2 linked regions of the Drosophila melanogaster genome follow. The protein of the gene in region 2 binds, or shares a complex with, the protein of the main gene of each other region. Each region holds a gene or a part of one and is shown on either strand. Other genes may lie near its edges. A codon is read from its position in the direction of its gene.

Region 1 (3,752 bases), on a different chromosome or scaffold from region 2:
AAAATGTCAAACTGACACATGAGTGAGCAAAAAACAAAGAGTTGCAAATGGTTTAGCAAATGCAATCGACGAAATGTTCCATTTCGCGACATTCCCTGACATTTAACCGACCTGTTCGATGGAAAATCAATAAACTAAGCCAAATTAAACGTTAATCCCACTCAAATGGACAATCATCATTGCTTTGGCATTTCCCATCTAACGGTAGCAACATATCGAACTGGCATTATATACCACTGCTGCTACCGTCGACACCAATTGTCAATGATATCGATCTCTTGGCCGCAACAGGTGAGTGACTTCCAGTGCCGACTGGTTTCCACGTCCAGACGTCCAGGTAATAACACCTCTCCTGATGACCGCCGTAATGGCCGGTGTTTAGCACTCTAATGGAGCCATCGAGACCGCAGAAACGCTCTTAAACTGGAACTAGATCAGTGAGATTATGCGGTGCTCCCTTGATTATTGCAATTAGGCGCGGGCAAACTGAAATTAGGGAAATCTGCGAAACACCACAATGCGGTGAGATTGAAATCGTGCCACTGATATATTCTGAGGTTTCCAGATGAGTCGAGATAACAAGTATTCGAGGTGGCGAAAGCCAACTTCTTCAAATGCATAAGCTGATTAAAATGTAAGAGACCAACCAAAACATTCAAAGAAACTTAAAAATCTTCTTTTAGAAATGTTTTTTATTTCAAGCTACATAACTGGATATTTTTGAGGACTGACTGGAATGTTATTCAATGTAACCCATTCACAACTGCCTTAGAGGTGACTCTTTCCTAGCCAGCAGACTATCACATCTGTGTGCACACATTTCTTTACCCAACCCAATTAGCGTTATCCAATGCTGGGGGCTTAGTCACCAGCACCCCCAGCTCATTCATTCCCCATCAACCTGATCAGTCACCTTAGCCCACTGCCTCCCCCAATTATACGATACATACGTATCTCAGGCAGTTATGTATCCACTCCGGTATCCCCAAGCGCACGGATGACTCATTTGTGGGATCTACGTTATAAAGAACATTCGGAGAAAAGCGAACGAAATCAGTTTGCGGTCTGACGACTTTGACTTTGTGAGGCTCCTGAGTCATAAAACGCGGCTTAGCGAGGTCCTCGAATGAGCAAAAATAAAAACCATCGGAATTTACTTCAATAAATGGGCGGAGGTACATAAATATATACATATGTCTGTAGTTTGTGATTATGTGAATTAAGGCATGTGTAATTACGAGGGGCGTATGCGGAATCGTATTGAATATTTGTGTTTATTGTTAAGCTTATTGGGGTCAAAGCATTCCGAATGTGCTTTACGGTTTATTGTGGCCAAAACTTACCGCTTTCCTGTATAAACAATGCCGAGGTAATCCCAAGTTTGGCTTATGCTTTTGTTGTTGTTTCGGCCGCCACTGATGGATAGTAAAATGTGTATTTCAAGCACGTGTCATTTGATTACTTTTGGGCACCACAAAACTTGACAGTGCGTATGTGTAGTGGGTGGCTGGGTGGTGGGGGTGCTGCACCCACAAGACAAAGCGTAAATAGTTTAACACTGCACAACGGTAAACACAAGTCGACACGACACTCAACGAACGTGGTTAACCCGAACGATACGAAAACAATGATCGAACACAAATATCTCGCGACGATCGCAGCGGTTGCGTCTGCGTGCTTCGACTGCTGGGAATCGAATGAGCGGCTACAGTTGGCGACTTCGACTCAGACTTCTAATTCCCGGGGTGGGAGAGCAGTAAGCCGGAGAGTCGGAGTCAAATTACCTGGGTGAGTAAGGTAGGCAGTGCTGGCAGCTTGACTACTTTCTAGCTAAGGATATCTAATACAATGTTTTAATTGAGTGCATACTTTGAATTATGTGTCTTAAGGTACTGAAAATTAAAGTATTATTAGCTGCTATTATCAGTATCAAGTTTTTATAGGTGATCATAAATCAAATTGAGCATATATCAGCATTTCTAGCTCCTTTAATTGTGAATCTGGCTAACTTTTAGCTACACGGGGTGTGTTATCAACATGGTGCGCTCTCACCTTTCTCTCTTTCGCTCTCCCTATTTGTTTAATAATAACGGGCATAATGAAGAGCATTGTTCGCTTTGTCGCGTTCGTTGTTGTAGTAGTTGGTGGTGGTTTATGCGCTTTTGTTGCTATTTCTTATCACTCACTCCTGTCTTCCCTCTCGCTCTTCTGCGCCAGCTGTTCCGGTAGCATTTTCAAAGGTGCGATCTCTCGCTATCTCTTTCATCTGCTACGCATGCGCAGCTGCCTGAGATTTTGGATTTTTGATTAGGTTCGCTTGTTATTGTTACTGCGATTTTGTGCGAATTTTGGGCGCAATTTTAAGGCAGTTATCTTTTCGTTTAGACTATTTCAACCCTTTGGTATTTCCGTTTCGAAATTTGTTTGATGACTTGCGCAAGTTTGAACACTTCTGGGTGATAAGATTACCCGAAACTTTTAAATGCCCTGTAAATAAAGCCCATTCATTCATGAACGCTCGTGGCCATAAAACGAAAATGTGCCACAAATACACAGTGTTACACTAAAAATTATGAGCAATCGACAGCAATTAGGCAATTGAACAATTTTGCACCAATTATTACAGCCATAAGAGTTCGATCGCCCACCCGTTCGTCGGTGAAAATAATTAAGAGGAGCCCACGATGTGTTTGCTCTTTTCACTATTGCCAATTTGAGATAGTTTCCAAATTGCGAAACTAACTGAAACAATAAGCAAAAGCACAGAGCCAAGTAAGCAAATTAAATCCACAAACAACTAATGAACAAAGTGCACTGAAACTAACAAATGAAAACAATGTTTCGCTTATGAAGGATCGAAATTCATAGAATAAAACCAATATTCAATACTGTATCTCGTTTAACATCTGTTTGCTATTGACACCTTTCAAGAAATTTTAACAACGCGTAGCAATAAAAAAAAAAAATGACAATAAATGCCATTTTCAAATGGCTATACAAATAAATCGTGTCCAAACCGAGAGTTTTAAATCATTAACACAATGTAAACTAAATAGACAATCTGATTTGACTAATAATGGTTTGGGCCGAAAACTTTGAAAAGCACAATCAATTGTCATTTATTGACATTTGTTTATTTTATTTGCTTGCTGACAGTTATGCCTAACTTTTTGTTTATATGAAATGCCATGGCATTGACCCCCAAACTTTTCAGTGTGGAGCCTCACAAAATGAGACAGTTCTGGGGAGCTAGAGGAGTTGGAGTTCAGAGTGCACACGAATGGAATTTCGCCCCATTCGTTGTCAATGTAATTTGTCAGTTCAAAGACCCCGTGCAGCACGAGGACTCCGATTCCAACTACAACTAGTTGTCGTGCCATCCAGCCAGGATGCAAAAGGACCCCGGATCCTACGTGCAAGATGTTTACATCGCGGCGTCGCCCTGACAAATGTGCCAAGTGTGCGGACGTGCGCCCAGGTCCCAGTTCCCAGTACCCAGTACCCAGTTTTCCAGCTCCCAGTTACCAGATCCCAGCTCCTAGCTCCTAGAGCCCAAAAACGCAGATCCCCGAGTCGAGTGCAGCTAAAAAAAATGTAATCAATGTATTTTTGTCACGTTAACGAAATGCACGAGCCTCGCAGCTCAGCTCAGTTCAGCCGGAGCAGCTGCCATAAAAGGACACTGAGAGAAACGTATCCACCTTAAGTGCAAGGAACACCATTTTGGTTGTTACATAGATGTGAAATTAAAC
Region 2 (3,752 bases):
TTTCAGGGGTTTCAATTTCTCAGCATGTGCTCGAATCGAAAGTTTAACGATGTGTTTTGGTACAAAGTATAAATATTTACGCTAACATAAAGGGGCAAACACTGCAAGCAGCAGGTGTCCACTTCGAAAAATAGAACAAACGGACTGCCAGTATTGTTTAAAAATATCTCAGGAATCATTCATATTGCTTTATGTTGTTGCAGCTCGTTTCTCTTACCATTCTTCCTTGCGAGTTCTCCGATCCATCCGACTGATTTCCGCTGGCCGAGTGATCGGAGGCGGTGGATCGAGCCTCCTCCTCGGTGGGTGAAGGCTCGGAGTCGGGCATTCCGAGTAGCTTTCGTAGATCGGAGATGTTCACCCTGGCTGTGCTTTCACCCACCGGGTCGTGCAGCTCCTTGGCCAGTTGAAGATGCTGTTCCGCATACTTTAGGGCCCGCTCATGACCACCGATGGCAGAGTGGGCATTGCCCAGTGACCAGCAGGCCCTGGCCTCACCAATTCGATCGCCCAACTCCTGGGCAATGGCCAAGTGTCGATTGTGATACTCGATGGCAGTGTTGAACTCGTGCAGCAACGTGTAGGTGTTGCCCAAGCTGTAGCAACTCTGGGCCTCCACTTCGCGTTCACCCAACTCAACGGCCAAAGCCAAGGTGCGTTTGTAGTGTTCGGCGGCGTCCTCGAATTGTCCCAGGAATATGTGCGAGTTGCCAAGATTACTGTTGGCCCTTCGCTCAGCCGCGCGATCACCAAACTCTCTGGCAATGCGCAGTCGCTCCTGATGATGCTCAATGGCCGCTTGGAAATCGCCTAGTAGGTAGTAGGTATTTCCCAGATTACCACAAGCTCGACCTTGAGCACCACGATCACCCAGATCCCGCATGAGCTTCAGATTCTCCTGGTAAAACTCCACGGCACGGGTGAGCGCCTCCTTGACATCGTCGCCGAACTTTCCAGGGTTTCTCTGACCCAAGTGCTTGCCCTTGGCGTGGTAGACATTTCCTAGGTTGTAAAGAGCGCGTCCCTCGGACAGACGATCTCCCAGCTGCCTGGCCAGCGTTAGGTGCCTCTCGCAACAGATGGCCGCCTCGTCGAAGCGACCCATTACCTTGAGGGTGTTGCCCAGATTGCCAGAGGACTTGGCCTCGCCCAGTCGGTCGTTCATGCTCTTGGCCAGCGTAAGATCGTGTTTGTGGTACTGCATCGCCTTGTTGTAGTCGCCTAGGTAGAAGTAGGCGTTGCCCAGCTGGGAGTAGATGGCGGACAGAGTGCGAAGATCCTCGGTTCCGGCCTGAATGGCCGCCTGGAAGAAGGCCACGCCCGCCCGGCAGTCACCCGCCTTGCAGAGGCGTTCACCCTCGAGGGCCAGTTCCAGGCACATACTGGATCCTCCGTCGGATCCGGAACCCTGCTGGGAGTTGCCGTCGTGGGAAGTAGTTCCTCCTCCGCCCGATCCCAGTCCCAAACTGGACACATTCTCCGCGGACGCAGAGAGCGAGGACATTCTGCTGCGAAGTCTCGCCTTTTTGTCGCGATGCTCCTTTTTGAGGGGCAGGTGCTCTGAAAACTGGGAGTTGTCCACTTTGCGGCGATGTTTTGGGGTCGATCTTTGGGGTTTTTAGCTAGCCTCTGGCTGGTTTTGAACTGCTGGTGGGTAAACTTAACTGCGACAGGTGAAATTTCAGCAATTAAGCGATCTTTTGTACCGTTTTTTTGACTAATTAGTGCGTTTCTGATTCACGACCAGTGTGACCGATTGGGGTCGATGAGAATACCAAGCAGATTAGAAAGAAATACCAACTTTATATGGTATGTCGTTGGATTTAAAAATAATATCTGTTATATTTTGTTTTAAGTCAATTGAACAATTTTAAATTACTTGTTATTTTTCCCCTACAACAAAGATACTATGAAAATTATATAAATAATATGCCTTTACCTCATGACCATAGCTTACATATCAGCAATATTTAGTAGCCCAATTGGTAATATTATATATATAATTACATTGTTTGATGGTTAATGTATGCATGCCGTTTGATTTAAAACTAATTTTTTTTTAACTTTAAGAAAAAGCAGTTTAAATTCATTTATTAGAATTCGAATTAGAAATCTTATCAGATGGTTGCCCTAATTTGAGAAATGTTAGCCACTGCAAGACCATAGCTTATAAAGGATCAATACTTATGAGCCAAGCTAAAACACAATTTTATCATAGTCTTTTCTTATTTTTGTAACGTATTAGTAAAATCTAAAATATATTGGCATAGTTAACATTTATCATTTTCGGTCAACAAGCCATAGCCCTCATCCCTATCAACCGTAGTTGGTAGCCAGCACTTTTGCAGACGCGCTTTGCAACACTAATCGCTTCAAAGATGGCGTCACTTCTACGGTGTCTGTGTGAACGATTCTAGTTGCCGCTGGAGAAAATTCGTAATTCTCGCATAAAGCGCACCTGCCGGTTACCAAAATCGATTGAAAAGCGAACGTCCCATATTGCGGCGCGATAAGCGGGTGAAATTGTGGCAGTGCGTGCGCGATAGACTGTTAGAAAAGCAGTGCAAATTGGAAGTCCGGATGCTCGAAGGTGTGTGTGTGCGTCGCTTTTTTTGTGCGGTTTTCAGCTGCAGTCGGCCAACAGTGCAACGCAAACATTGTGTTCTAAATTACATAAAGCAGGGAATTTCTGCACGAAGGCAACCGAAAAAAGGACTAAAAGGAAAAAATTAGCCACACAAAAGGAGAGCGAGTGCGACAGGGAAGGAGGGATACAGAGCGAGCGAGAGGTCGATAACGATAGCCTTGTTTGGTTATCGCCCTCGATAGGAAATAAAAACGGGAGAAAAACTTGAAAGCAGCGGCGTCTTTCAGTTCGCCGGTGTGCCCGTGCGTTGGATGGTATTTTGTGGTATTTTCATTCATTTTTGGGACTGTAGTGTGACCGTGTGTGGGAGAGAGCCGCCTAAATAGAGAGCGCGACGCGCAACAACAGTTTCTGTGGTGAGTTGAAACGAAACTCACCACGCTCTCACCCAGAAATCTGGCACAGTGGTCTCGAAACAAAAGCCAAATGAGTAATCGCACCTGGGGAATCTAGCTAAATATCAGCACCAAACAATTGAAAGTCAGCTAGATGAAAACAATAACAATAGTAATACTATTCGAAGTACTAATACTAATCAATTGGAGGCAGGCTTTTCGTTTGTGTGTGCCTGCTCCCTCTCGCGTATAGTATATACCCATGTGCCAGAGAGAGCAAGCCGAAAACGAAAAGAGAGCGCGAGAGTCGGACGAAGGAAAAAAATATCGCCACAGTTGCCGTATGCCGCCTTCGTCGTCGGTTGCAAAAGATATAGAAATCTTTTATATACACACATACGCAGTCGGTTTTTAATAAATTCTGCAGCGAAAATTCCAAGCCCGAATAAAGAAGGAGAAATAAAAGGCAACTAAACAAAGCCGAGTGCAAAATTAAAGCCAAATTTCCAAGGCGAATGCAAATTTTTCAAGTGCGCAGTAAGCGGCTAAATCCCCAGACGCAATTCGGTGTTTCAAAAGTTTTAATAAATAAATAAATATGTAATTACGCTCGCAATCCAGCCAGCCCGCACACACACACGCACACACAAATACACGCACGCAATCGGTTAGAATTCGTATGAGCATATATATTTTTTACTTATATTATTTTTAGAATATCGATTTTGTGCCGCGTGCGTGTGTGTGTCTCTCTCGCACCGAGTGTGTGT

Evidence for each region. The genes of interacting proteins can lie anywhere in the genome.
Region 1: the proteins of pins (region 2) and insc are in contact, whole or in part, in a crystal structure (PDB 5A7D), measured with the Drosophila melanogaster proteins. Residues at the interface, in NP_524999.2 of Drosophila melanogaster: Gly39 (codon at 1,390), Ser40 (codon at 1,387), Ser41 (codon at 1,384), Met42 (codon at 1,381), Leu44 (codon at 1,375), Glu45 (codon at 1,372), Leu46 (codon at 1,369), Ala47 (codon at 1,366), Leu48 (codon at 1,363), Glu49 (codon at 1,360), Glu51 (codon at 1,354), Ala64 (codon at 1,315), Phe65 (codon at 1,312), Ala68 (codon at 1,303), Asp76 (codon at 1,279), Arg78 (codon at 1,273), Thr79 (codon at 1,270), Ser81 (codon at 1,264), Ala82 (codon at 1,261), Ile83 (codon at 1,258), Ser85 (codon at 1,252), Gln86 (codon at 1,249), Asn89 (codon at 1,240), Phe92 (codon at 1,231), His104 (codon at 1,195), Asp107 (codon at 1,186), Ala111 (codon at 1,174), Gly119 (codon at 1,150), Lys122 (codon at 1,141), Ser123 (codon at 1,138); in NP_477024.1 of Drosophila melanogaster: His306, Pro307, Glu308, Pro309, Val310, Ser312, Trp313, Met314, Glu316, Gln317, Arg318, Trp319, Ala320, Gly321, Glu322, Pro323, Glu324, Val325, Met326, Cys327, Thr328, Leu329, Gln330, His331, Lys332, Ser333, Ile334, Ala335, Glu337, Ala338.

The regions. Positions count from the first base shown.
Region 1 is NT_033778.4:20,834,327-20,838,078, forward strand, and holds the start of insc (inscuteable), read right to left. Parts: upstream 1,703-3,752; 5' UTR 1,344-1,702; intron 1-1,343.
Region 2 is NT_033777.3:27,580,840-27,584,591, reverse strand, and holds the start of pins (partner of inscuteable), read right to left. Parts: upstream 1,753-3,752; 5' UTR 1,505-1,752; coding exon 218-1,504; intron 1-217.